7 linked regions of the Rattus norvegicus genome follow. The protein of the gene in region 6 interacts with the protein of the main gene of each other region in a pairwise test. Links are inferred from orthologs where the notes say so. Each region holds a gene or a part of one and is shown on either strand. Other genes may lie near its edges. The genes, in order: Wwc1, Zfp451, Kalrn, Gse1, Myt1l, Cdc5l and Kansl1.

Evidence for each region.
Region 1: the proteins of Cdc5l (region 6) and Wwc1 interact in a two-hybrid assay, tested with the Homo sapiens proteins (2 studies listed by BioGRID and IntAct). The link is inferred for Rattus norvegicus from reciprocal best matches to the Homo sapiens genes CDC5L and WWC1.
Region 2: the proteins of Cdc5l (region 6) and Zfp451 interact in a two-hybrid assay, tested with the Homo sapiens proteins (2 studies listed by BioGRID and IntAct). The link is inferred for Rattus norvegicus from reciprocal best matches to the Homo sapiens genes CDC5L and ZNF451.
Region 3: the proteins of Cdc5l (region 6) and Kalrn interact in a two-hybrid assay, tested with the Homo sapiens proteins (2 studies listed by BioGRID and IntAct). The link is inferred for Rattus norvegicus from reciprocal best matches to the Homo sapiens genes CDC5L and KALRN.
Region 4: the proteins of Cdc5l (region 6) and Gse1 interact in a two-hybrid assay, tested with the Homo sapiens proteins (2 studies listed by BioGRID and IntAct). The link is inferred for Rattus norvegicus from reciprocal best matches to the Homo sapiens genes CDC5L and GSE1.
Region 5: the proteins of Cdc5l (region 6) and Myt1l interact in a two-hybrid assay, tested with the Homo sapiens proteins (2 studies listed by BioGRID and IntAct). The link is inferred for Rattus norvegicus from reciprocal best matches to the Homo sapiens genes CDC5L and MYT1L.
Region 7: the proteins of Cdc5l (region 6) and Kansl1 interact in binary tests that used the Homo sapiens proteins (3 or more experiments, as listed by UniProt). The link is inferred for Rattus norvegicus from reciprocal best matches to the Homo sapiens genes CDC5L and KANSL1.

The regions. Positions count from the first base shown.
Region 1 is NC_086028.1:20,832,938-20,836,437, forward strand, and holds part of Wwc1 (protein KIBRA), read right to left. Parts: intron 2,768-3,500; coding exon 2,659-2,767; intron 2,296-2,658; coding exon 2,215-2,295; intron 833-2,214; coding exon 746-832; intron 1-745. UniProt on the Homo sapiens protein: Regulator of the Hippo signaling pathway, also known as the Salvador-Warts-Hippo (SWH) pathway.
Region 2 is NC_086027.1:43,533,807-43,537,940, forward strand, and holds the start of Zfp451 (E3 SUMO-protein ligase ZNF451), read right to left. Parts: upstream 2,801-4,134; 5' UTR 2,629-2,800; coding exon 2,608-2,628; intron 2,093-2,607; coding exon 2,009-2,092; intron 1,958-2,008; exon of another isoform or gene 1,468-1,957; intron 1-1,467. UniProt on the Homo sapiens protein: E3 SUMO-protein ligase; has a preference for SUMO2 and SUMO3 and facilitates UBE2I/UBC9-mediated sumoylation of target proteins. Plays a role in protein SUMO2 modification in response to stress caused by DNA damage and by proteasome inhibitors (in vitro).
Region 3 is NC_086029.1:79,755,284-79,759,548, reverse strand, and holds the start of Kalrn (kalirin), read right to left. Parts: upstream 2,801-4,265; 5' UTR 1-2,800. UniProt on the Homo sapiens protein: Promotes the exchange of GDP by GTP. Activates specific Rho GTPase family members, thereby inducing various signaling mechanisms that regulate neuronal shape, growth, and plasticity, through their effects on the actin cytoskeleton.
Region 4 is NC_086037.1:65,493,207-65,497,459, reverse strand, and holds the start of Gse1 (Gse1 coiled-coil protein), read right to left. Parts: upstream 2,801-4,253; 5' UTR 2,737-2,800; coding exon 2,730-2,736; intron 1-2,729.
Region 5 is NC_086024.1:51,897,893-51,901,881, reverse strand, and holds the start of Myt1l (myelin transcription factor 1-like protein), read right to left. Parts: upstream 2,801-3,989; 5' UTR 2,174-2,800; exon of another isoform or gene 2,035-2,173; intron 1,461-2,034; exon of another isoform or gene 1,347-1,460; intron 1-1,346. UniProt on the Homo sapiens protein: Transcription factor that plays a key role in neuronal differentiation by specifically repressing expression of non-neuronal genes during neuron differentiation.
Region 6 is NC_086027.1:23,075,897-23,079,396, reverse strand, and holds part of Cdc5l (cell division cycle 5-like protein), read right to left. Parts: coding exon 3,419-3,500; intron 2,538-3,418; coding exon 2,349-2,537; intron 1-2,348.
Region 7 is NC_086028.1:89,865,821-89,870,043, forward strand, and holds the start of Kansl1 (KAT8 regulatory NSL complex subunit 1), read right to left. Parts: upstream 2,801-4,223; 5' UTR 2,775-2,800; intron 1,600-2,774; exon of another isoform or gene 1,090-1,599; 5' UTR 975-1,089; intron 1-974. UniProt on the Homo sapiens protein: Non-catalytic component of the NSL histone acetyltransferase complex, a multiprotein complex that mediates histone H4 acetylation at 'Lys-5'- and 'Lys-8' (H4K5ac and H4K8ac) at transcription start sites and promotes transcription initiation.

The sequences.
Region 1 (3,500 bases), on a different chromosome or scaffold from region 6:
ATAGCAAACACTTTACCAACAATTCTAACGGGACTACAAATGTGTTTGTCTTTGTCTGGGTAGACCTTGTGCTCCTAGGCACAGATGGCCATGCACAAGGACCTAAGAGAACCCGGCGGGCGTTTCTGGTTCTAGCATTGTTTGAGGGGGCAGACAATAGAGATAAGCTAAGCCAGTCTGGTCTTCCTTGGGCTTTGTCAGTCTTCTCTGACCCCCTCCCCCACCCTACCCCAGGTCGCAACTACCGTAGTTCTCCAGGCCTTATGGTGGATGTAAGGGTGAATGATTGCAATATAACATAAGCCCAGTCTACAGCAGGGGTGCAGGCAGACAGTGTTGGCGCTTGCCAACCTAGTGGCCTCCAGGTAACACCAGTCACACACTTCCAATGTTGGCTAGACAACCAGAGAGTCATTTCTGCCTACAGAGGACAACAGGGACCTGACTGTTCTCATGAGGTCACAGTCCAGGAGGTTTCCACGGGGGATCGGCACGCCCAGCATTCCTAGAGCAGTGTGTGGTGGGCATCCAGGCTGTACCAGGAAGTGGGAGAGCTACCTACAGTGGCACTTTCCAAAGCTGGTGAGCTTGCCATTGGGCCTGTGTGTGCATGGGCAGCCCCAGCATGCTCACCGGCAGGAAATAGCCGAAGTGGTGTTTGGAGTTGGAGCAAGATGGAGCTAAAGAGCTTTCCCAGGGAGAAGCACAGCAGGTGACAGGGTGACACGCAATACTCAATACTCACACTTTCTGATCTTGCTGTAGTAACAGGGCAGAGAGGTTACTCAGCTGGATGACTAATATTGCAAACTGCTTACTCTTCTCATCATATCTGAAATGAAGGGACATGTAGAACACCGGTTAGGATATCATTCCCTCCCTCCCTCCCTCCCTCCCTCCCTCCCTCCCTCCCTCCCTCCCTCCCTTGTTTCTTTCTTTTTTTTAAAGAACAGAGGCTCACTGTGTATCCTTGGCTAGCCTGTATAGACCAGGCTGGCCTTGAACTCCCAGAGATCCTTCTACCTTGCATTCTCAGTGCCAGGACTAAGGGTGTGTGTCACCATGCCCCACATTTTCTTTCTTGGCAATTATAGGTCACGGCTGCTGGCTTCTCTGTCCAGTGTGGTAAGCTAGACAGCGCTCACCCTCAGCTTTGTGGCCATGACCAGATAGACACAGGTCCAGAACTGGCAGTCATCAGAATTCTTATTTATTTACTTCTTTGTTTATTACTGAGACGAAGTCTGGTTATGTAGCCTTGGCCAGCCTGGAACTTGCTTATGTAGACCAGGCTGGCCTCAAACTCAAGAGGTTCGTCTGCACTCTGCCTCCTGAGTGCAGGGATTAAAGATATGCACTACCATGCTTGGATTATTTTACTTTAGAGACATATATTTTTAAGTGTGTGCATGTGCGTGCGTGCATGTGTGTGTATAGTTTTAGGCTGTTGTGATCCACCAGTATATGTTGGGAATCAAACCTGAGCCCTCTGTAAGAGCAGCTTTACTGATGACTCTTAACCACCAAGTCGGTCTTTCAAGCTCCTTTTTAGTTTTTTAAGTTTCTCAAATGTTACTTTATTAATTATTATGGTTAGAGGGAGTCGATATGAGTGCATGTGTGCACACACCATGGGACACATTTGGAGGTCAGGGGACAACTTTTGGAAGTCAGTTCTCCCCGTCCCTGACCCCCTGTGGGTTCTGGAGATCGATCTCAGGCTCTCACGGTAAATGCTTTGACTGGGGAAGTCACCCAACTGGCCCACTCGGCTCAATTTTTACAGAGGTACCAGAAGTTCGTGTGAGTATTTCTGACATTAAAATGTTTACATAAGAAAACATAGAAACCACCCCCAGGGAGAGAAGCCAGCAGTGACAGCAATGCATGTATCAGTCAGAGCTGGGCTATGGTCCCCGGGGTCAGCCTGGGGTAGGAACACTGGAACCTAGATGGGGATGGAAAGACTACCTTAAAAAGTAGATGCTATGTAAACAGGACGCCTATGTCATCTGCCTCTGTCCCGCTCAATACCAGCTACAAGAAACTTGGCCTTCCTCATCTGTGGTGAAGGGGACAGTATCCCTCTATTCAAGAGCCCACCAAGGATAGTGGGTTCTCTTCTTCCCTGGATAGCCAGGAAGGTACAATATGGTCAGTGGAGAAGAGGTCCTATGTAAGCCCTCCCTCTGTCCTTGTCCCCCCATCACTTACTTCAGGGCAATCTGAACCTGAGTGACACCCACAGCTTCCGACTCGTCGCTGTCGAATGCAGCAGCCTCAGAAGTACCTAGTCTGAAAGACACCGGAGGAAGGGGTTAGCTTCCTGCCCGCCAACAAAGGCTTTTTCTGGAATCAGGGTTCTTGGTGTGTGCCCAGTGTTTCTCTGGACCCTCGCTTTCCCTTGTGCTTGGGAGCCCACTCTACAATAGACTCCCTTTCTGTAGCATCCAGTTCCATGGTTACACTTGGCAGTTGTCGCCCAGAACCCACATTTGCTGGAGGAGCCTTGGACACCACCTGCATCTTGCTGTCCTTATGTTGGGCATGGCCCTGGAGGTCACTGGAGCCCTACCGCATTCTGTGGAACATGGGCTTGAACATCCAGAGCCCAGAGACCCGCCCCCTCCCAGAACAGAACGACGTCTGCGAACCCACCTCTGCATGGAAGCCTCATACACGCCGCTGTCCCCGGCCACTGACTCATCAGACACTGCAGCGGACACACAGGCCACTTTGAGGCCACACCCTGGGGCCACACTTGCAGCTGTAGTGGGTAGAGGGGAAGATGAGAGAGGGAAAGTCATGTTCAGAAGCCATGCAACTCCGCCCTGCTCTCCTGATGGTCCCAGTGAACTGCAGTACCTCTGAACACTCAGGTAAGGTCCCTCTCATCCTGAGACAAGGGAAGAAGGCCTGTGATTTCACATCTGTGATAGCTATTCTTGGTTATCCACTTGGCCACCTCTGGAATGAACTGAAATCCAAATGGCTGGGCACGTTTGTGAGGGATTTCTTTTTCTTTTAATTAATTTAAACTGGGAAGATCGACTGCTAATCCCAATCTTTGGGGTGGGAAAATAAAATAAACCTTTTTTTTTCTTTTCTTTTTTTCGGAGCTGGAGACCGAACCCAGGGCCTTGTGCTTGCTAGGCAAGCACTCTACCACTGAGCTAAATCCCCAACCCCTAAAATAAACCTTTAATCCAGATCTTTTGAGGTAGGAAGATTTACCTATAATACGGGCCACTCCTTCTGATGGCTGCCTATAGAAGGACACTCTGTGTGTGTGTGTGTGTGTGTGTGTGTGTGTGTGTGTGTGTGTGTGTGTGTGCGCGCACGCGCGCTTGTTTTTGTCCTTGCTGGCAAGCCTATTCCTTCACTGGAATGAGAGCCTGCTATTTGGGATTCTGGGGTATACTGACGACCAGCTGAGACATCCAGGCTCATGAACTGAACAGCTACTGGATTCTAGAACCTTTTGTTGGTTCATGGCAGCC
Region 2 (4,134 bases), about 20 Mb from region 6:
TCTGCGTATCTGTATTACTCCTTTCAGCATGCTACCTACATTAGTGAGACACAGAAAGCCTCTTGGCCAATGGTAGTTTGCTCTTGTACAATTCTGCCATACATACAACATATTTTTGTTATAAATTACAACCTGATAACCAGGACCAAGTAAACCAAGAAGTCATATCATAATGTAGCTTGTATCTGGACAACTCAGGCAGAAGCCAGGTTTTTATCTTTAGTAGACTGGAACTCCCCACGGGACAGAACTGTTGTTGCAGAGCTCAGGCTTCTGTCTCGGGGTCTGGCTGCTGCAGTGGCACAGCAGCATCGTTTATTTCATAAGGTTTCACTATATAGAACGCAGCGGTCTAGAGCTTCCTAAGTCACACTGCCTTCCACTTCAGGATCCTTCTGCCATCACCTCCCCACTGCTAGGATTCTAAATGTACCTTAAAATAAAAGTAAGCTGGGTTGGGGATTTAGCTCAGTGGTAGAGCGCTTGCCTAGCAAGCGCAAGGCCCTGGGTTCAGTCCCCAGCTCTGAAAAAAATAAAATAAAATAAAAGTAAGCTATCACTCATTATCTTTAAGTGATAGCCTTATACACACGGGCCACGTTTTACATATTCCTGATGCAAAGACAGACCTACCTTTGTAGTTAAATTTAAATATTACTTTTAAAACTCGGATCAACAGACACCTGAATTAACCAGTTACAAATGATAATGGTATTTCACCTCACAAGATATATAACCAAAAAATTTACTTTTTGAATCTTACTCTTTCCGTATTCTTATCAGTTTCTCAAAAGGCCACATTCTATAATTAAGGGTTAACTCCTGCCATTTGCATGAGGCATCAGGTAAATATTGTTTACAAATACACCTGATTCATGAACAATCCAAAATATTTGTCTCAAGGAGTCATATAAACCTTTATCATACATATCATGTACTAATCACCAACATTCTCCTTTCTTCAAAATAACTCGTCTATTGGGAAGAAAGGGACAAGACACAATGTATCCCCAAACCTAACTCCAGATCCCCAAAGATCAAAATGAAAAGGACAGCGTCCAATAGGAAAAGTGCCAAGAAAAGGATTTTATGGAGGGCTTCCCTCTTAACCCCCTAACACACCACACCCAATAGACTGACATGACTGACGGCTCAACGTTGGCGAGGATGGTCTTTAATAAGCACTAGTCTACAGTTGGCTGCAACAAATACATATGGGCTGACCAGTAAGTACAGAGCTTTAATGGCAAGTTCAGCTAACTTTAGCATTTCAGGAGAGCTATGTAAAGCAGGGATGCTCTCTGGCCACATACTACTCTAAGAAGAACTGATGAACAAACTTAGCCACCATAGGTGAAAAATCACCCAAAACTGATTCTCCTCCCTCTTGCCTCTTCCCTCTCACCATCACTTCCGGACCAACTGGGAGATCCCAGTGTCCCCCACTGTATTTCAAAATAACAATACCTAGGCTCTAGTCTCTGTTTCTGATTCCACAGGTCTGGAGTGGGCCCAGATCTTACAGCTTCTACTCAATGCTAGAGAAGTTCTGTCCCCAAAGGAATAAAACTTAGAAAAACACAGCAGTGCTGCAGGTGATGCAGGCCTCCTCATTGTGACCAACAATTGTACTGTGCTGTAACAAGATGACCTCAGAAGTTAGGGAAGTCCTCAGCTATTAGAAGATACACCACACAACCCTTAATTCCTACCTCCCAGGCTTTTGTGTGTCTTCCTTTGTGTACAGATGTTAAATTAAGCCCTGGGAGGTGCAAGAAATGCCTAACATGACACCCACTTCGAGGTGGCTACTGCAATTGTTCAATTTCCCATTGAGGCAAGCATCTAGGTATCCCTTCAGGTATTAGTCCCTTGCACCAGTGTGGGGCAGCTTTCGACATTCATGACCTATCTGTTGAGTGACAACTGCCTGCCTGGTGGGGTTTAATCATACAAAGGCTTACCATACTTTCACTCCAGCAAACCACGATTGTCAGTCTCTACTTACACTAACAAACTGAATGTCATCTTCGTTTTCATCCGCCGTTGACTCTGATGGCTCGGGCCCAGCTGGTGGGACAGATTCTATTATCTATAAACAAAAGCCAAAACAAGCTTATCTATTCAGTCACAGGATCGCAGGAAGAAATTCTTCCCAAAGGAACGAGTTAAGACAAAAGCTCCTGAAGGGAAGCAGCAGGATCACAGGAAAACCGGTTCTGGGAACTGCATGGAGGAGACCGGGTTTGCAAAGGCGTCTTGGAGCTAGTTCCCCAAGCGAGCTGCCACAATTTCCCTCCCCGCCTCCTCTAGGTGCAGAGATGCAGGCTCTAAACCTCTAGGACCGGGGATACAGGCTACAAATACAAGGCCAGCCTGCTTCCAATCCCTTCTCACCCTCGGGGCTGTGGCTGCTGCAGCTAGGGCGGCCAGGGGCTGGGGGCGGCCGGACCGCCATTGTTGAGGGCTACACACAGACGTGCACCAGGCCCGGAGGCCCCGCACTCGCCCGAGGCCGCGGCCCGGCTGAGGCCCAAAGCTGAGAATACAAACCAAACCCTTCGGGGTCGGGCTCGGCGGAGCCAAGGCCCGGGCAGCCACACTCACCTCCGGCCCTGGGTCTCCCATTTCTCCCACGGCCTGTCAGCACCACGCTCCCGCCGCCGCTGCTGTTCCCGACGCCGACGCCGCCGCCACGACTTCCCTCTCGCCCGGCACCGCGCGACCCGCCCTGCGTGAGCGCCCACGCAGCTGACGCCTCGGGCCGCGGGGACGTAGAGCTGCCGGACCCCAAGCGCGGCCTCACTGCCGCTAGCTTCCAGCGCCGCTTTGTACGCTCCCCGCCTTCCTCCCGCCCCGCTAGGGATTCTGGGAGTTGTAGTTTCCACCGGCCTGGAGGCTGAGGACCGCTTGGCGGGGAAAGCTGGCGAGGACTTGGAGCTCAGCGCTAACCTGCGTCTCCGGAAGATGGCGGGAGGAGGTAGTGAGGGTCTCGAGGTAGTTCTGAGTCCACGCGAAATCTCGTTCTGCTGCCGCCTTAACTTGAGAGACATTGACAGGGAAAGAGCTCCTCTGGCAACAAGCGAGACGGATGAAAACATGGAAGGCTTTCATCCCAATTACATCTTGGAAAGGCAGCAGGGGCAAGAGCTTATATGGCGTTCCTGAGAGGTCATTAATTCTTGCAGAAATCTCACAAAGTGTTTTCCTTGTTGTCCACAGGTTATCAGACTGCGTATGGTTCCTGTAAACTAAAAGAAGCATTACTGATTAGGTCCCAGAGGGCTGCTGCTGGTCTTTCATGTTTCTCCCTTGCTCTTTTCAGGCTAGGTTGAGTTGATAGGCTCATTACTTGGACACAGAGGTGTGTGCAAAAGGAATCCAGTGGAAAACAGATCTGGTAATGTCAGTTAACCCTTTCAGACCTTTAGTAATCATACTGCTATGAAAGCAAAGCTTGGTGGTCTTTGTTTCGGGCCAGAAGGATGGATGAGTAGGTTTCAGTGAAGTCCACGACCTGAAGCGCCCGAGCTATTCAATCTCTCTCATGTCTTCTACCTCCCAGTGCTACCAAGTATTCAGTCTCGCTAAAGGGCCAGAGAGAGGAGCAAGGAGTAAAGGTGTAAAATTTAGGGTTCGGTAGGAAAGTAAAAGCAGCTAAAGTCTGAATACCTTTCATCACGAAATCCTAGAAGAGTATTAGTAATAGTAGTAGTAGTAGTAGTAGTAGTAGTAGTAGTAGTAGTAGTAATCCTAGAAGAGGAGGAGGAGGAGGAGGAGGAGGAGGAGGAGGAGGAGGAGGAGGAGGAGGAGGAGTGAAAGATCTCCGCAGGGAGACCCTCCCTCAAGTATCGGGAAGTCGAGGCCCCCAGACACACGAGAGACCAATCTTGATGTAATAAGCAGAGGCAAGGTTTATTTTCAGAATTCCGGACCGACACATATCTCTCACAGGAGACAGGGGTGTCGACCCCGAGCAGGTAAGAGAGGGACTATTTAAAGGGAAAAAACCACAAGACCCAGGGAAGGAGAAGACGTCAGGGGGAAATGCCAAAGATCCCACAAGGAGGATCTCCCAGAGTCAAAGGACAGTCCTCACGTCTCCAGTGTTTTACGGTCAGCTAGTTCCTGGGA
Region 3 (4,265 bases), on a different chromosome or scaffold from region 6:
CAATGCTACTTTCAAGTTCAAATCCTGGTTCTTACTTAACACCTCTTGGCCTTCTGCCTCAGCTTCCTCCTCTATGACTGGAAAGACCAGCATTTTATTCACAGAGGAACTATGAGGCTCAGCACGAAGGAGGGAAGCTCCTGGTGTCACAGGTAAGTGAAGCAGACAAAAGGTTCTCTTTGCCCTTCTCCCCTGCCCCTACAAAATGGTTCGCTATAGTTCTGACCTTCTAATCCTATGCCCCTGATCCAATACCTCCTGTCAGGGCCCCTTCTCTCCGTACCCCTTCTTAGGGTCAAACCCTAAATCTTCCAATGTCTGACTCAAATGCCACAGAGTCCAGGCCGTCCCCAATCTTCCTTCCTTTATACGTCATCTTCAATCCACTTTCTCTTCTGTATACAATTTGTCTACCTTACCGAAACATAAACGACATGGAGTTCAGATCTGCTCCTTAATCTTCAAGGTGCCTAATGTAGTGCCTTATCTCAGAAGCATTCAAGTGACTTTTACTTCAATCTTTAATGCAAGTGAGTGTCGACTGACTGAAAGAACAAGCAAGGGATTCTAGGTAACCCACACCTTTCCACGTGGAAGGCAGGAGAAGCGTTGACTATCGCTTGACTGTAGCACGTCAGCCTCTGGACACTGACTCAGGCTTGCAGACGTTTCAAGAGCAGGAGCAGAGTGCTCTATTCTTGCCTCCCTTGAGGCTGCTTGGTCAGTAGGCTGGCCACTTACATGAGAAGGCTGTCCCTCGGGTGACAGGGGATCCTGATCACAGAAAGGAAAGCAGAGGGGACTCCAGGTGTAGAGCACCTCCATTCAACAGCCAAGTGCACATTCCCCACAGCTGTTTTTCGGCTTACCTATGGCAGCTTCTACTCCCAGCCTCCTGGTCTCCATCAGGCATCTGGAGTCAAAGGGGCTCTCCTCCAGCATCTGCCATTTCTGGGACTCATCACCCATTGGGTCAAACCCAAGAGGAAGCTGTTCAGCCTGGAATTTTACTCTCGGTTGGCTTCAATCCTTTAAGTAGGGCGTCTTGGTGCTCTCCAGCCCACCCCCACTCATTTCTGCTATTCCCACAGAGCCCCATAAGCCTTCCTTTAAAAGAGCCAAAAGAAATAGTTTGCATGTTTCTAAAGGACTCAGACTAGGCAGGAGGCACGTCCAGGAACTAGCAGGAAGAGGGAGAAAGTAGGTGGAGCCACAATCTCCACCCCTTGCCCTGCCCAGTATCCTTCTTACCTCTTAAAGGGCAGCTGTGGGACACAGCGGAGTCCTCACCACCCAAGGAGATACCTCTCAGGCTCTGTTAGTGCAATTTTGTTACTGCCTTAAATGGACAAGAATCTCGTGAGTCATTAACACAAAAATGCAAAGTCCTCTCCTCTCTGGAGAGAAATGGTCCATAGTCCTCCCTTTTGTGAATAACAAGACTCTATGGCTCACTCACATGTGGCCAGTACTTCTTAGCTCACAAAGTACTTTCGCATCTGTCAGCTCCTTTGGGCCCTAACCACCCCGAGAGCTCTGTTGGAGAAGAATTACCTTCCCTGTCTAAAGAGAACCAAAGTCATCTTTCAAGAAGTTGAACAAGTTTCAAATGGTACATAGGTGTGAGCTGGCTCCCCCTCATCACGTTTTCTGGACCTTGACATTCCCTAGAGAATGTAGCACCTTTCCTGGAGAGGTGGAAGACCTTCACAGTGGGGCTATGCTAACAGCAGTGCTCAAGAAGCAGGGGCAGTGCCAGCATGCCACAGGCACAGAATATATGATGACTGACAAACAAGCCTTTGATATGTCCCATTGGTCAGTGGCTTACAGTTGGCCAGAGAGCGCATTTCCAAATAAGAATGCCAAAGTCATTTTTTCCTAAAGCCTCTTAAATGAAACTTGAAATGTGAGACTCCTACCGCAACAGAAGACCTGGACAGAGAGGGACTGTGGGAGGAGCATCACCTGGGGAACAGACAGGCAGCCCTCATGCCCTTATAAGCACATATATAAACTATAACTCTCTATTGGTGCTGATAGTGGGCCTGAAGGAGGAGGCCAACTGGAGCTCCTCTCTTACTTGGTGTCATTCTCTACAGAAGAAAGAATTAAGAACAACATGGGTGCACGCACCTCGCCACACACAGTGAGCCCTGGAACACAGCATCACCCATTGGGTCAAACCCAGGAGGAAGCTATTCAGCCTGGAATTTTACTCTCAGTTGGCTTCAGTCCTTTAAGCAGGGCGTCTTGGTGCTTCCCAGCCCACCGCCGCTCATTTCTGCTATTCCCACAGAGCCTTGTAAGCCTTCCTTTAAAACAGCCATGGTAGAAGTTGAATAAAATGTTCTAAGAGACTGCTAGGCTTGCCATTCAGCTGTGGTGCAATTAGAAAGGACAGAACGTTGCCAGGACAGGACCTTATTAGGTAGGTAGGGTGTTGTTGTTGTTATTGTTTTGTCTTAAACAATGATAGGACGGTGGCTCTTTCATGATAGCCAAAGCGGGGGCAGCCATTCCTGTCTGTGTGGCTCTTTCCCCCTCCGCTGAAATCAGTGACTGCAGGCCAATAGCACCCAACCACTGCAGAGGGCTGCTGCCTGCCTGGTTCCTCTGCAGATACTCACTGCCACAACCACGATGTGTTCCCTTCCCTTCGGCGTTCCTTCTTCCTTTCTTGGCACTGTTCTCTCTCCATCTTTTCACCCACCCAAAAGAAGAAACACTGTGTTCTCAACCGGATAAAGCCAGCATAAGTGGATGGAGCAGAAGGCAAGAAGAAGTGAGGGAGGAGAGAACCAATCAGGTCCCAGAGAGTTCCCCACTCACCTCCCAGGACAACCGGGACCTCTGCTCCCTCAGTGGCACAATCCACATGCCTCAGATGCGTGCAGCTAACCGGCAAGTAAAGGCCACACGTGAGGTGGCACAGCTGCTGGTATCTGTGAACCAGAATGAAGACTGCTCAACAGACACCGTGTTCTCCTCCTACCCCACACCAGGAAGTAGGCTCAGCCAGCCAACCATTTTGCCCTGCAAGTTGTGCTTTGGCTCCAACATGAACCAAACCCTCTGGCAGACACCATCCTCAGTCACCTTCCACAGCACTTCTGTCCCCTCAGCAAATACTGCCCAAGCGGTAAGTGGAAGTCAGGACATCTCGGAAACACCATCTAGGGAATGGTGTGGACGCTTGCCAGCCTCTCCTGTGAGAGCCGGGTGTCCCCAGGTGAACACACTCCTTGGGTCCTCACATGAGGACAATATCTGAAAGACTTATCACCCAGACTCTGAAATCTAAGTCCACCTCTCCCAAGAGGCCTCTCCAGCTAATGTCACCATTCTCATCTCAGAGTTCTCAAAGTTTAATGGGCAGCAGATTCACCTTGGAGGGGTGGCAGTTCATGCAGATGCCGCACTCCCAGAGGCCTGAATCTTTACTCAGCTCCCCTGGGTGATTCTTTGATGGTGATCTGTCTGCTCTGTCACAGCTCTCCTCTCTTACTTTCAGCACTGGCTTCATTTCAGTATTTTGGTTAAACTCCACAAAGTACCCTGCCTGCCCACACACCCTAGGAGTCCAGGACAGAGGAACCCTGAGTTCTCTCTCCTGGAAGGCTCTCCAAAGTAGAGAGAGATCTAGCAGAGGACCACACAGGAAGGGGTAGACAAAATGGCTCTTAGACACACAATTGATCCTTGGCTCCCTTTGAGCTTCAGAAAACATTCCTTCTGCCCCAGGTCCACTGCCGATCTGTACGATGGCTTTAAATGTCACCTCAAGACAGGGCTGATTGGCCTGCACTGACCCTGCCATTTATGTAGCTTTCCCGTTGTTTACCACTGACCTCAGGGAGATCTCTCTCTCTCTCCTAATCTAGAAAGAGATCACAAAACCTCTTACAGCACCAGCTTAAAACCATTCTGTCAAGTAGAAGAAATCTACCCTCACCCTTCCCTGTCCTCCTCTGAGGACTCCTTCTTCTCCAGCAAACCACAAGAAGCTCCCCACTGCACCAAACTCCACCTTCAGGGCACCACCCCAACAGCCCAACCAACTGACAGAGCTGTTTCTCAGCCGTATAAGGTTCCTCTATCTGGGTCTGCTTCCTCTGAGCTAGGTCCCATGCACAGAGGTATAATAAACTGATCCCTTCTTCAGTGTCTTAATAAGAAATTAATACTAGGCCCTTAAGAAATAGTCACACTTTGGAAAAGGGTGACACCCTAAGGCAGTAGAAGACAAGTGAAGTCTATACATC
Region 4 (4,253 bases), on a different chromosome or scaffold from region 6:
CCTCCCAGCAGCGAGCGAACGCGAGGCTGGGTTCAGGAGGCGCTCGATAAATTCTCATTGACAGGAACACTCAGAAGCGTCACCTCCCAGGCTGTGGCCTGTGTGCCTGGGGGCGGGGGGAGAAAGGCCAGCGTGGGAAGTGAAGCCAGCACAGTACTGGCGGGCTGCACTTGGCCAGGCCGAGGAGATCTGAGACTCCATGGGGGCAGAAATTAAAGTGAGTCGGCAGGTCTGCCGCACAGCCACCAGGCTGAAATGTCACCTCAGACGAGGTTCTCTGCAGGTTAAACATGCTCTCTCGACCCGAGATCCCAGGAGAGGGAGGGAGAGGGAAAGACGTGGGCTAGGCCTCATAGAGGGATTGTGGCTGTTGCCACAACACGGGTAATTAACGTGCTCCCCCCACCAGAAGGCTCCTATCCAACCCCACCAGGCATTGGAGTAACCCAGGCTGGGCATTCCAAGGCTGCAGATGGGGCCAGGAAAAACCGGCCTTGCTGGCTCACTCCACAAGCCCCTGCGGGTTCCTGGGGGCAAGGGGGAAAAGTGGCAACTGGCTATTATTACACAGTGAGTCTCTAGGAAGGGGAGGGGGGGAACCAGCAGGGAGCCAAGGCTAGACCTCCTCCACGGCAGGGAAATAGACCACACCTGCCTGAAGGGTCAAGGCCAGCTGGGGACTCAGCGGGCTGGGGCTGATGGAGGGCCTGGAGGAGGTGCAGGCCCCTGGTCCACCACAAAGAGGCGCAGACCTCTTCTTCCCCCTTCCTCTGGCTAGAGGTGCAGAGTCCTGAGGTGGCTGCCTTTCTGCAAACCACACAGCCCTTTGAGATCTGCAGCTTCCAACTTCCTCCAGAGAGACAGGGAAGTTACTCACAGCCAGAGGCCTGCCTGCCTGCCAGCTCTGCCAAGAGCAACAGAGGCTTCCAAAGGGTCAAGCTTTTTCGGAACCTTCCTGACATTCCGACCCCATTAAAAACAGAATTGCCCCAGGTCATCCCCAAGGTTAGGGGGCCTGACAAGGCTTGGCTCCTAGTAATTTTAAAATGTTAAGTTTAAAGGAACTATATATATACACCCCCTTTCAACCCTAACCGGTCAGGATCCTAATAACTGCCCCCAACAGGTCAGGGCCTGATCTGGCCTCCTAGCCTTCCTGGTTCAGAACCTGCCCTAAGGCAGGCAGAACAGAGCCCAAAGCTAGGACAGGCCTCCCACCTCCTTTCCGAAGGCGGGGCTGACCCCGGGTCTCTGGCTGGCTGCTCACCAGCGCCTCCCCCCTCCCCCAGCCTCCTCCGCTCCTGCTGCCAGACCAGGCGACAAAAGCCAACCTTGTACCAAGCCATCAAGGCACCCCCCAGGAGGTGGTCAGGCGTGACCCGGTGCCTGTGAGAAGTGTTGAGCAAGCTGCTTCTGCACAGCAGAACCCGATCGGGTGAGCCTGCCAGCAACCCTGTTCCGGTCCACCCGGTGGGGCGTGACACCCAGCACAGCAGATGACACACGCTGCCAGTCGGAGCCTGTGCCCCGGCCCCCCTCACCTGTGGCGGGGCGACTGAGCGGCTGAGTCAGACACAGCCTGCGCCTCAGGTTCCCCGCCTGCGGGTGGGGGCGGCTGTAAACACAGGCTGAGCAACACTTAAGTAGCCAAGCTTAAGTAACACGGACGCCCAGGGAAGGCTGCTCGCCAGGGGGGGCCCTGTCTTCCTAGGGAAGAGGGGGTAAAACAGTCTCAGGCAAGAGACTGAGACACTGCCAAGCGCCCAGCCAAGACCTCCTGCCTTTGTCCCCTTTGCTGGAAATCGGCTTAGGCCCGATGCTCCCTCCTAGAGTGAGGCTGCGCCTTTTGTTCCGGCCCCCTTTACAAAAGGATCTTGTATTTTGCCCCCCCTCCATTTGGTGGTCCCGCTTTTTGTTTTCAAACCCCAACCTGTGTGGGCCCCAACCGCGACAGATAAGACACTGCAGGGGTCTAGCAAGGGTTTAGTGTGCTTTAAACGCATGGAGACAAAGGCTGGTTTGCAAGCACCAAACCGACCCAACTCGAGCTGGCACCCCCACCACGAGTGGCAGGTGCGCGGGGGCGCCCCTCGCTCGCTCCGGGCTCCGATACCCAGATCTGCGGCCCCTAGCCTGCTCCTCGCAGTCCTAAGCGGCCCCCTCCACCTCCCTGCGCTCGGAGAGGCGGGCAGCGGGGAGGGCAGCCCAGCTCCCGCTCCGCCTCCAAGAAGGGAATTTAATTAGCCTGCCGGAGAGGCGGCGGGCGACGAGGTGTCTCTGGTGCTGCAATATAATTGAATCGGCTCCACTCGGGCGGGCCACTCGCCGTCAGCGCGGCCGCGGGGGGCGGGGAGGCGCATCCAGGCGGAGCGGGAAGGGCCGGGCGGGGTCGCGGAGGCCCCCTGAACTGCCATCCCAGGCAAGGCGTCCCCCACACCGATCCAACCACCTGCCTGGGCACCCCCGCCCCATCCAAAGTTTTGCTTCAACCCCGAGCCCCGGAGCCGCCCCCGCACACTTCCCCGCGCACTTCCGCGGTCGCAGAGCTCGCTGCGCCCAGCGCGCGCGCGCAGCCGCGAGTGTGGCTTCAGGTCGGCCGCGCGCCCCGCGCTTCTCGTACCTCGCACCCGCGGGACCTGGCACCGGCCGTTGGCGCCCCTCCCGAGCCCACAAACTTGGGTAGGGGAAGAGCGAGGGAACCCCCGTCACCCCCCTACCCGCGCGCTCACCTTTCATGCCAGGGCCCCGCTGCTCCGCCGCGCCTGACACATGCCGGAGCCACCGTCGCCCGGGTTTGTCTGAACTGCTTATCTCACCCGGGGCTGTGCGGCGGCGGCTCGGCCGCTCGGGGAGGTGGAGCTTCCGGGGCCTGGGCCAAGAAACACCTGCTGCTGTCGCCGCTGAGGACACACCCAAGCGCAACGCCGCCCACTCCCCGGCCCCGGCTCGCTCCCGGCGCCCTGACCTCAGCCGGCGGGAGGTGTCGGGTTTCAGCCGCAAGCGCACGCGCGCGCACCGACGGACCGCCCGGAGCACCCAGCGCGGTCACAGCCCGCCGGGTAGGTGCCGCCCCCGCGCTCCTGGCGACCCGGGCTGGACAGTCGAGGGGGACCTCTTCGAGGCTTCGCGGGCCACTCATCTCCCAAGAGTAGAGAGGAGTGGCTTACAACACTCCTCTCCGCCTGCCATATCTGAGCCTCAAAGCCGCCTCCCCAAGCGCCTGGAACAGTGCCTGGCACCTGGCCACCCACTAAGAGAGGGGAGGGATAAACCCAGCGCTCAGGAGGACTTTCCTTGTGCTGAGTGGAGGGGACTACACAATATAGGCCGCTGGCCTCCCTCGCTCTCCAAGATGCCTGATCTATTACCGCAACTTTAAAGGATTTAATGTTAAGAGCTGGGGCCACGAGCCTCTGACCCAAAGTTTTGCAAAGTCTCCATCTTTAAGAAATTTTTGTGAAGGCCACACGGGGGGGGGGGGGGTCGAGTTCTTTAAAGAGCCCATGTTCGAGAAGCTTAAGTCCACGGAGGCGCCGCTGCGCCAGGGGCATCATTAAGTAGCTGGGGTTGCGGTCAGAGGCGAGGCCGCTGCCGCCGCCTCCAGAAACTGGCACAACCCACCGCGCCACCGGCCCCAGCGCACCGCCTTCCCATTCTTGATGCCCCCACCCACCCTACCTCACCCAGGCACTTCACCGGGATGACTCAGGGAGCGTCCTGAAATTCTTCGGCACCCACAGGCGGCGCGGAGAGGGACTGGGCCCCAGCGTCCCCGCCCCCAACGCGACCGGTCCCCAGGACGTCCCCTTCCCACCACCCGGGAGGCGCGGGGTTATAGGACAAGCCCGGCTGGGTCCCTCGGCCGGACCAAGCGCGCAAGGAGCAGCCAGAGAGATGGCAAGGTCGTCGCGAGGTCCCGGGGTCTCCCCCGCCCGCCCTCTCTACACTGCTCTCTAATGATCCTCCGCTTTCATACTTTCGAGCCTGGAGGCCACTGCACCTCCCCGGGGGGAGCACCTCAGCGCCGCTGCGGGTTTCAACTTTCCACGGCGGTGCCAGCCCCAAACCTGCCCCGGGACATGCCCGCGCAGTGCTCGGCAGGCGCGCGCTGCCTCCCCCGCCTTCCTCCCTCCCGCGCCAGCCGGGACAGCGCAGGGAGCGAGCGCGGGCGCCAGCACCCCCCGTCCATCTGTTCTCGATGACGCCGGCGGCGGGCAGCGCTCGGGGCCCGCGCCAGCAGAAGCCGCCGATGC
Region 5 (3,989 bases), on a different chromosome or scaffold from region 6:
TCTCTTTAGTGTATGAGAACATACCACAGCACAGAATTGTAAAGGAAATAAGCTCAAGTGACATTTTGGAAGAAAACTATTGACATTTTTTTTCTGTTCATAGGCATAACATGTGGTACAGGGCAGAGCTCCTGGGATACAGAGCCCCCAGTGCGACCACTGCCCACAGAGCAGCTAAGACAGGGCACCGGACATTTGAAATCTCACGGATGAATTACATGGTTTAGCTATGGAAGGCTGTAATCTCTTCTAAAGTTGATATCCAACCTCAGAGGGAAAGTTAAAAATAAAAGAAAATAAAACAAAAAGTCCCCTTAGAAATCACATTTTCAGGCTGGTTCCTATGAACATATTTCCAGCTCAGAGACAGCTCATTGTCTCTGGATCAAGCCCCTATCAACTGCAAGGAACCTTGAAAGCTGACAGGACTGCAAGCGGCAAAAGTAACTCCCTCAAGTGGAAACTCCGGTGACATAATTGTGGCCCTTTTAAAAAAAAAAATGGAATGGCCTTCACCTGTGAGAGGAAGCAGGCACAAAGGAAGCCTCTTGAATAAGTGACATTCAAGGGCTTCCCTGCTCCTAAATGGCCAAGCAGAGGGTAAAAAGGAAAGGCTAATGTCTGCTCCAAGAAAGTTATAGCCCATCAGAAAACAAGAGAGTTATTTTACTCACAAAGATGGACCCAACTCCAACTCTGCAAGGGAACTGGCATGGGAGAGGAGTATGGCACAGCCTCCCTCTAGGTAGGAGTTCAGGAAAAAAAAAATGAGAACTCTTGGGTATTCGTTACTTTGGACTAGACATTTAAAACCCAAGTTGTTTTTCTCTCCCCACATTCTGGCTTCCTGGCTAATTTTTTGAATGTGATAGAAGCAACATTTGTATGCACTTATAGGATAATTGAGATTTTCCCTATTATGCAAAAAAAATACATCTTAATGTGAATATCCAGAAACTTGCAATTTAAGCAGGAAAATAATCAGGCAAGTTCTACATACCAGGGACAAGCCTGCTCCCAGGGTGTCACACCTGAGGCTTTGGGTTCACTGAAGGTATTCGTTGCTTTTAATTTTATAAAGGCATATTTTCTGAAACAGAACCAATCACACCCACTCAGCACACACAGCCCCCCCCCCCCCCGCCAAAGTTGTATTTCTGTCACATACTCGCTCTCATTTCTAAAGTCTAGCAACACTTTGAAAAAGCTTTTAAAAATTCAAAATGAAAGCATGGCATGCCCTAAAACATCCGAGAAACTACAGCGATCCAGTTAAGAGACTGTGCTGTCTATTGAAGTTTAACTTTAAAAACAAACTAAATAATTAGGTCAGTTAAAATGCACACCTTTCCCTCTAAGGAGGGTAGGAATCCTTAAGACAGGAAAGGACTCTTCATCAGTGACTCTCGCCAGAAGCATCTTGAACTGAATTTTGAAACACCCATGCTCCAGCAAGCTAGTCCCAGAATTATATAAGAAATCTATGCCACTGTTGACAATAGAAACTCCAGGCTCCAGGAAGCCTCGTTATTACTCATGAACTCAGAAAACTGATTTGGAAAAAAAATATCATTTTTTTTCTCAAAAGAACTCAGTATCAAAGGTTGTACTCATTTAACATTTGCCCTCTGTGCATCCTACAGACCTACAAAAAGCATCAGTTCAGTTCCCACTGTCCCCAATAAGTAACTGGTTAAATGAGCTAAAATCTCCTTCCAGCTAGGAAAAATATATACTAGTCAAAACTAATTATGTCTAGCTTTCATCAAAACAACATTTGCTAATTCTGCTGGTCTCCATACACTGTCCCAGAAAATATTAATGAAACCCGTTGAATAATGGCTGCTGTAAATTTCTGAAAACACTAATCTCTAAACAGTTAATTTTCACTTCACACTTATGCATGGAAGATGGATGAAGAGGCCACCCGAGCACCAGCAAAAGACTATTCTTTTGTTATTGCCCTTAAGAGTTGAACTTTGCTCCACTTTGGGAAGCGCAGCCACAGCTCCAGAAACAACAGGACACATTTACCTGGAGGGGATTTCAAAGAGAAACCTGAAGAATGGATTTTCTGCTCCTGCAGTCCCTCTGCGCACCTTCAGCTAAGCCAGTCTCTGACAAGCAATTGTTCCCACGGCAGCCACCCCTGCCTTCCATCTCAGGGACTCACCCAGAAAATTCTCCAGCCTGCTCCGCGACTACAAAACTCTTCTAATGCTTTTGAACGCCCACCATTTGTTCTCCATTCATCCAATCAACTTCGAACCGCACATCTTCTCTCTATCGGCGCGCAGACACGGGGCCACTTCTCATCTGTATGCTAATTATTTTGCCACATGGACAAAAGTAATAATGCTTTCAGACAGGAAACTAACAGGCCTGAAGTCGAAGATGGAAATTAATAAGTTGACACCACTAAACGCCGGGGAAGACGGGCATGCGTGCAGAGCCCTGCCTGGTGGATGCGGCGCAGCCTCCATCAGCAGGCAGCAGACAGACGGCCCTGGGCCGCCAGCACTGCCCAGGCTGCGAGCATCAGGCACAGGTTTCCTTAGAGACCACATCGCTGCCGCAGAGGCACACCGGGAGCATCCTGCTGACTTACCCTGCTCGGGCGGGCTGCTGTCCTTTAAGCAACACAAAACGCAGCCATTTCCTCAAACCCTAACTTCATCACTGATCTAGACGTTTCTCAACCTAACAGCTGTGAGTTAAAACCAGTAATTTCTAGCCTTCCTGTTTACTAGGCTTTCAGCAGTCAGGCAAGATTGGGATGTGTGCTGTGTGCTTCCTACACTGTACCCACAGGCCTCTAAATCTCTAGAGCCGAGTGTGTGATGTGCAGTGCTGTATTTAATGTAATAGATGAGAACTGTAAATACGGAGGCTTACTGTTGGCTGCTATCCGCTAGGTGATGCATCTCAGAAAATCTCCCCTATCGTTGACGTTATGGTAAATGCATATAGTGGTCCAAGAAACCTCACCAAAGTCAGCAGAACCTTGGTGTTTTCACTGGAACTACAGCTACACATCAAAACAAATCAAAAAGGCATCCGGGCCTCCCCTGGCAGTTCTTAAGACTGGAGAACGGGCACCAGAGAGTTAACTCAAGGGTTCCCACCATCTCCCTGGCTTATCAGCCACACTACAGTATCCCATCCGGGCACAAGCTCCTTTTATCATTTTCCTTTAAAACAAGAGACAGAACTATTCTCTGAGTAACTTTTAGCACTACCGGCTTATGATACCAGCATTTGAAGAAGAGAAAACACAAAAAGTTTATTTTAAAAAAGAACAGACCCAGTAAGATGCCAAAACCACAAAAAGAAAATAGCTATATGACTTTCTGTGCCATTTGGGGTTTTTTTGTTTGTTTGGGGTTTTTTGTTTTGTTTTGTCCCCACCCCCACCCCCAGGTGCTGATTCTATAAATAGTCTCTTAGGGCAAGCAACAAATGCTTTTCTGTGGAAGTAGCTGTCCCCTTCCCTCACCAGCCTCTTGGTAGAGCACACTCGGTCATAAAGGCTGCTTGGTACCTCCCCCTCCTGGAAGCTAGCTTTGACATCCAGACTCCTGGGGAGAACAACTCTGGGAGACTACAGACAAGCAATCATAGGCATGTTCATCTGAGGGGCAGCTGTAGCCAAGAGAGTCCATCCTTGGCCCTCTGTACCCCAAATCATGCCATCCTGTCATAGTGTGTAACCAAAAAAAGAGTGGAGGGTGGCCAGGCAGGTGGAGAAATGGCTATGGGAACTACTTAAGAGACTCTCCGAAATCACTCAGAGGAGTTGGAAGCTGCGGCAGCCAGGCAAATAAGCAACCACATGTCACCTTTAAAGGAAAGGGAAGAGGTACCTCTCTGCAGATGAGTTGGTGGCCATCAGCAAGTCCTTCTCAGCAGTCTGTCTCACTCATGCAGCTCCTCAACTGCCATGGAGAGCCCCAGGCACGTGTGGTCACAGATCCCTCCGTGTTTGCATT
Region 6 (3,500 bases):
AGAGAGTGAATACTGCTCTGGAACAGGCCGGCGCTTTCAGTCCTTTGCCCACCTAACGCATCACATCAGGAGTTCTGAATAAAGTTTCCATGTCAAGATACGCTACCGTCACTGGTGTGAATGCAACATGCCTGCAACCCTGAGCACCTAGGGTGGAGAGACAGGGCGGTCAGCAGTCAGGGGTACCTTCAGTTACAGAGTAGTTTGAAGCCACCTGAGCCTCTGTGTTAAGGGGCAGGGGGAAACAGTGCTGTGGGCTTAGTATGAAACTGCCATTATCCAAGAGCTTCTCCCAGTATCCACGCCATCAAGTACTAAGAATCAAAGTTCCTGATATGAGCTGAGGGCAAATGTCACAACACCTAGGTTTCAGAATAGCTTCATCACTAATTCTTTATCTAATGTTCATAAGCAACTCTGAGTCTCTGCTGCTTCTGTTGGGAAGTTGAAACATACCTAAGCTGCCAATGCATGCCACAAAACTCATAGGATCAGACTGCTTTAAGAAGTCTCACCTAGACTCTTTGAAGACTTGGTCATGTCTCAGCCTTCTCAACCTTTTGGCTAAGACTGAAATGATCAGGCTCTTTTTAGTTCTCACCCTCCTGTAACTGTCTTTGCCTTATCATAGTTCCCAGCTCCATGTCTAAGGCAGACTTTACCTTTCAAAGTCAGGCACATACACATCTCTCTCATACTCGTCTGTGTCTTCAGTGTTCTTCTCCTCCCACTCCCTTTAAATGTAGGTGGGCTTGTGTTTCCCCTTGACAGAGAATACAGCAAGAGTAGCATGGCTTGATGTCCAAGGTTAGCTTAGAACCATGATGTAGCTTCTCTCCACACTCACACCTCTTATATCAGTCTGAGGTACCGGAGAGAAGTTCAATTGCCATGCTGAAGACGCATAAACCACATGCAGATGCAGACGTAAACTCATGCCATGCACCATGCTAAGTCACCAACCTATATCCAGCATCACTACCACACATGCAGGATGATACTCCATGTGTTCTAGCCACTACCTGTCAAGTCACCCTCAAATGCTGAGTCTTCTCAGCTGAGGTACTAGACATCTTAAGGCAGGGGGAAGTCACCTTTTGTGCCCTGTTTAAATCCCCAACCCACAGCAGTCACAAGTATAGTAAATTGTCTAAACTACTAAGAGGCAAAATGTAGACAACTAGAGCAAGACTTGCTCCATGATTCTGAGTATCTCTTCTCATGAAGAGTCTAGAATTTCATACTATCAAAAGTCCTGAGCATGCTTTGATATTCCAAATACAAAGTATCTCTTAGAAAGAGACAGACTTACAACTTCTACATAAGAGGAGAAAACAACACTACATCTAGAAGAGCAAAGGTAACATGACTCACTTTAGGTACCAGGATAATAAACACACAAAGGTAGAAAACACACTATCCTTAAAACCACCCTAAAACGGGGCTGGGGATTTAGCTCAGTGGTAGAGCGCTTACCTAGGAAGCGCAAGGCCCTGGGTTCGGTCCCCAGCTCCGAAAAAAAGAATAAAAAAAAAAAAAAAAACCACCCTAAAACAATATAACCAAATGACCCAGCAGAATACTGGCTCTTCTAGGAGCTGTCTCCTATTCTAGTCTGTCAACTTGATTATACTGAAAAATATATAATTATACTGAAATGTTCCCACAATCTCCCTCCCCTTTCTTTCCTCAAAAGCAAAATCAAAGTAAAAGGGTGCCACTAGGAGGCAGCAACTTGTGGGAGGCCCTTGCACATGCAGTGTCCTTCCTTGCACTGCTCTGCTCCATGCCCAGTGTTCTGAGGCAGCCGTGAGGACCTACAGCAGCAGGTCCACAATCTTTCAGGCACAGTGGCTACCAAGTACCAACAAATGGAAGGGAGGGATGGATAGATGGCTCAGAGGACAAAAGCACTGGCTGCTCTTAAAGACCCAGGCACAACTCCCAGCACATGTAATTGTCTGTAATTCAAGTTCCAAGAGCTCCAACACCCTCCTTTGACTATGCAGATTCGGCACACAAATAGTGCACATATATGTATGCAGAGAAACCATCCACACATACAAAACTTAAAAGCACAGAACTGCAAAATCTGTACTTCCCTGACAAGAACAATATGAAGGCAGAGGGGCAGAGGGGCAGGCCGGCACCAACATGCTGTGAATGAACAGACGGTCACCACTGAGCCTGCTAGTTCAGACCACTTAGCCTGCTAATTAGGTTTCTGTGCTATAAGAAATGCTCTGGGATCATGGCCATCAAACTGCTGGCCCAACCAATACACAACCAAACCATATGGTGTCCTCCACAGTGACACAAAGATGATCAAATCAACAGTGCCAGCATACCTGTAGAATCCTGTCTTGGGAGGCTGGAGTCCGTGGTGTTCTCAGAGCAATGCTGTTGTTTGTGACATTGTACTCAGACAGGAGAGTGCTAGAAGCAGAGTTTGTGATCCCAGACTCCTCCGCAGTCTGCCGTGCAACTTCACTGGCCTGGCCTACCTTGACAACTTCCTGGAGTTCAGCATCTGAAATCTAAAGGACAAGACCAGCCCTGTAATCCCTTTAACAGGAGCAGTGCAGCTTAAACATTCCATGTTTCAGAGAATGATTTGCTAAAGCTGGGTCAAGGGCAGAAAGACAAAGGCCTCTCTGTACCACTTAATTTCGCCTGGCTTTAAAATTTCCAAAATAAAATTTTAAGTCTTCCTTTTACTATGGGGGGAAAGTTCACATTATAAACAACTGGCTGCAATGGCTGTATTTCTGTATTTAAAACTGTTTTAGGATTTTTATTAATTCTTACAGAATTCCATACAATATTTACCGATATTTAACACCCCAAGTTCCTCCCAATATATTCCAACCTCCTCCCCACCCAGCTTTGTTTCCCCTTTGTAAATATAGAATGGATCATATATGTGCATGCCACCCTTACATGGGAGCCACACTAATCTTCATATCATCCCAATGGTGTGTACGCACTAGGCATAGTCAAAATGTTTTAAATCAATATATTGACAGATTTAATGCACCAAGAACATAAGTACTTGTACAAAACTATTAATGAGAAGATAATACTATTGAAAAATCAACTAAATATCACACAGTCCACTAAACCTCAAGATCTCTAGGAAAATCTAAAAGTGTACTTCTGTAATTTTACCAAAAGAAATATCCTTAGAAATATTAAAGAAAAATTCAATTAAGAACTACCAAGAACTGCCACCACTCAAAGCGGGAGCACATAACAGAACTGTGCTCATGCGCTCACCGATGGACTTTTCTCCACGTGGCTCTCCATTAAACTATGGTTTCTTGAGCATTAAGCACAGGCCTGAGACAGCAGCCCACCTCTATTTACTGAGTCTGATGTAAGCTTGTAAATCCACAGGATGATAGACTGTTCCAGTTACCTGAGGGGCAGGCAGCACAAGTTTGCTTCTCTTTTTAGTAAACTCAGAGACACCACTAGTTTGAAGGATAGCAGATGGTAAA
Region 7 (4,223 bases), on a different chromosome or scaffold from region 6:
CTAAAGATTTCCCAAAAGTCCAAATGTTTAGGTTATTCAGACTGCACTAGGGCTCTCCCACTGCACTATGCTGGAATCCCAGCTACACCAGTATCTAACTATCAGGGAAGGAGAGGCTGACAGACTTCACTGTTGATCTTGCCTTGGTCCTTTCTCTCATCTCCTCACTTTTCACAGCTCAGTCCTACTAGAGAGTTCTTTTGCCATCTCTGAACAGAAAGAGCCACAAGAGACTTAAAGAACTATCTTTTTATCAAATGGTCACATGTCCACATTGCCCAAATGAGGCGTATCTTGCACACCCTGGAAAAGGAAAGGGCACAATGGCCACCTGTTGAAAAAAAAGTGTAAGGACTCACACATTGGCCTGAGGAGCAGCAGGGCATTTGAAGAATAAACACATATACTGCGTGAAATGTCAGAGCAATCAAATGGTTAATGACACATCTTTTGTAACACATGAATCAGCTACTGATTTGCAAAAGTGGGACACGCCCAAGTTCATATGACTCTGAAGTACCAGTTTGAAAATGGACCTCAAGGTCTGAATTGGCAACACATCTACCAGGTGGAACATAATTTCACAAGATGTAAGCTATAATAAGTAAAAACTGGAACCCATCCTTATAGAGTTAATTTAAGAACTTCACTAATGTCTGAACAGCAGCAATCAAGAACAGCAATAACAAATCCTAAGAACCTAATGGTTCTAAGGATGGGTATCCTGAAGAGCCACAGGTTCAAGAACATTCTAGGTAGATCTAGACCTAGTAGCAAACACCTATAATCCTAGCATTTGGAACGTAGAGGCAGCAAATACATGAAGTTAAGGCCATGCTCAGCAAACTACAAAGTTCCAGAGCAGCCTGGACTCTGAAACCCTGACTCAAAACACACGGGAACAAGTATTCTTGATTCTAAAATACATATATGAAATAACAAAATAAAAATAACGAAAAGCAAATATATCTTACCTTAAGAGGCATCCAAATAGCATACATAGTGTCAGGAATAGTTCAGACAACTCAGAAATAAGCAGGAAGAGACTAAGTAATTCCCCAGTTACCACGGATAAGGAATTAAGGAGATCTGAAAAGGAAGAATTTTTTTCACTTAGATGGAAAAAATAGCATATGTAAATAGCTTAATCTATCTGGGAAAGGCATTCAATACTAGTTGCTTAAAAAGTGTACAAGTGCTGGGCGTGGTGCACTTTAGTCCTAGCACTCAGAGGAGACTGAAGCAGGCTGTTATCTACCAGTTCAACACCAGCCTGGTAGACACAGTGAGTTCTGGGCCAGGTGAGAGCTACTTATTGAGATGGTCTCAAAACCCCCCAAGAAGGAAAAAGATACAATATAAAATTCCCTTTGTAAAGGGCATATGTTTATCTCTGTGTGTGTGTGTAGAAATATATTTTATATCAAAGAACAACGTAAATCTTAAGTAACTGAAAATTACTTATCAAAGGTTCAGAAAACTAAAATCCTAAAGGAAAAGTTATTACTACCAGAGTATTTCATAAACACTACTGAAAATAATTTATTAACTATCTAAAAAGATGTACAACTATTTTATTTGGTAAACAAACAAAAAAAAAAAAACTTCTGACAATTCCAGTTTTTAACTTTTCTTAAAATTGTTTCAGAGCTGAAACTACATTAAAAAAGTAAGTAGCATCTATTCCTCACCGAAGTACAAGCAAAAAAGAAAAGACCATTCTTTTCCAGAGATTTTTAAAAGCAGACCAGAGGAATTAATTTTGAAGATGGAGGGTGTTAAGTTTGCAGGGACTCAGAAGAATGGACTAAATGACTCCTTCTAGGAGCCTATGTCCTAGGCCTGAATGAAAATTCCAGCTTAACCAGTTACTGCTTCACTTAAAATGGAGGCTTGCCCGAGTAGGAACACAAAAATAACACACTCACCTCTTTAAAAATAATTTCTTAAAATCAGAGTCGATGTCCCCGTTTTAAAAATAAAGCTCTGGAGTGGGTTTGCTGTCTCCACGTTTGTCACTTCGGTTAGGGACACTTGGCATCACTTTGCCTAGCGCTCATTGGATTTTGGGGGGTGGGGACGGGAGTTTGACTCTTGACCCGACTCTCAGGCGAGCCTGGGCACCCCCACACACTACCCCGCGACGCGACCCCAGCTCTACAGGACCCCAGCTCTACAGGACCGCGGGGCCGAGATCCCAGCGAGCTCGAGTCCGCGCCCCTCCCCCGCCTCGGACCCTCGTCCGGGAGCCTCTCCCATCCCCCGCGGCCCACGACTCCTCCGGCCCGGTCCCCATTGTTAGGAGGGGGGCGGCCGTGGCTGGGGCTCGCGGCCCGGGGCCCGTGGCTGTTGACCGACTCGCCTCAGGAGGGGGCGGCCCGCGGGATGCCGCTTCCCGTCCTGCCACGGTCCGTCCCACCTCGCTCGGCCTGGCGCCCCCGGCTGTGCTCGGTGCCCCCCTCCCGGGCCCTGTGGCCACTCGTCGCCCGGCACGCCGCGGTCCACGGCCGGAGGCCGAGGCCTTGAGGGTGGGCGCCGGCCGAGGGTCCCCGCGCCCCACACACGCGTCCCCGCGTCCTCAGACCGGCCGCCTTCAGGGCCCTCCGCGGCGCCGGCTCCCGCGACCCCTCAACCTCCCGCCGCCCCGCGACGGCGCCCCCCACGGCGTCCTCCGGCCCAGACACGCCACCCTGCACCACCATCACCCCGACCCGCCGCGCCCCCACCCCCCGGGGCAGCAGTGCCAACGGCAGCTCCCCCGGCCCCAGACCTACCTGCACGGCTCAACCAAGCCTAGAGTGGGGGGCGGGCAAGCTTCCGCCCTCCTCTGTCTCCCATTGGCCCGCCGAGGGCAATTCGCGAGCACCATTGGCTAAGAGTGGACGTCCGTCAGAGCTATGGGGCGGGATGGGGAGGGGGGGAGAGATGCTGGTGCCTTGGCGTCTCTGTCTCTGTATCTCTCTGTCTCTGTCTCGGCCCTAGGAAAGGAGAGGCTTGAGCTGGACGGAGCTGGAGGGCGGCCTGGTGGGAGAAATAAGAATAGGAATCCCTACAGTGCTTCACAGCAGTCCACCACTCAACCCCTGGCCTCAGTCCCTCAGGTCCCCTTCTCTGTCACCCCCAACCCCTGCCCCTCACCTCACCCTTCCAGGTTCTTCATCCAGGAAGCGATGTGATGAGAACCCGGCCCGGAAGGCCATAGGGAGAGATTTTGTATATGTACATAAAATATACACATATATAAATGTTTGTTTTTAAAGTCAACCAGATTTGAGGTCCTGAGGGCCTGGAAAGGCCATACATCTCACAGACCAGGAAGGAATTGAGAGAAAGCTGAGTCAAAAATCACTCTCAGAGGTGTTAACAGTGGTTGCCTCCTGGATGACATGGAGTTCTCAGCAGACCAAGGAAGAGGAATACTTAATCTCTCAGGCACATCCTTTGTAGATACTGATTTTTGTGCCATCCACAAACATTACAGCTAAAATAATATTAATTATCATAGCATGATCCATATGCTTGTGATTATAGCACAAGAAACTCATGCAGAAAATTATTAAGTGCAAAAGCCAGCCTGGGCTACAAAGAGACTATTTCAAAAAAAAAAAAAAAAGAAAGAAAAGAAAAAATATTTTGAATCCAAATATTTTGAAACAAAATGGTTATCTAAGAAAACCAGGACAGCATTCACATGTACTGGGGAGTCTTACCTTTTAGTTTGTTTTAAATACCAGTAATAAGTGTGTTCTGAGGAATTCCAAAACACTGGGGAGACTAAACAATCCACAAATGAGGAGTCAACATACTGAACGATCAACTTTCTCAAATCGGAAAACAAAACAAAACAAAACAAAAAACCAGCTAAAATAATGGCAAAACAGCACGAAGGCAGAGGAGCAAGAATACTAAAACTATGAGAGATCCTTAGGTCTTGAGGCTACACTTAGAGAACTGTTTTTAGGCCATAGTAGACATGTGACAGTAAGAACTAAAAAGAAAATACCCATAAGCCAGAAATCTTAACTTTTTCAGTCTTATTGACACATAAGGATTCTCCCAGAATTTTTTTCATCGTATCAAATGCATTTAGGAAACCTGAGGACACAGACCAGATTCACTGCAGAGGATCATCTGGGCTACAGAGAAGCCCCAAGAACGCTGCTTGTACTAAAATATAGTTTGTTCTACAAGATGTGTATTTTTATGTGTCTGAGTGTTCTGCC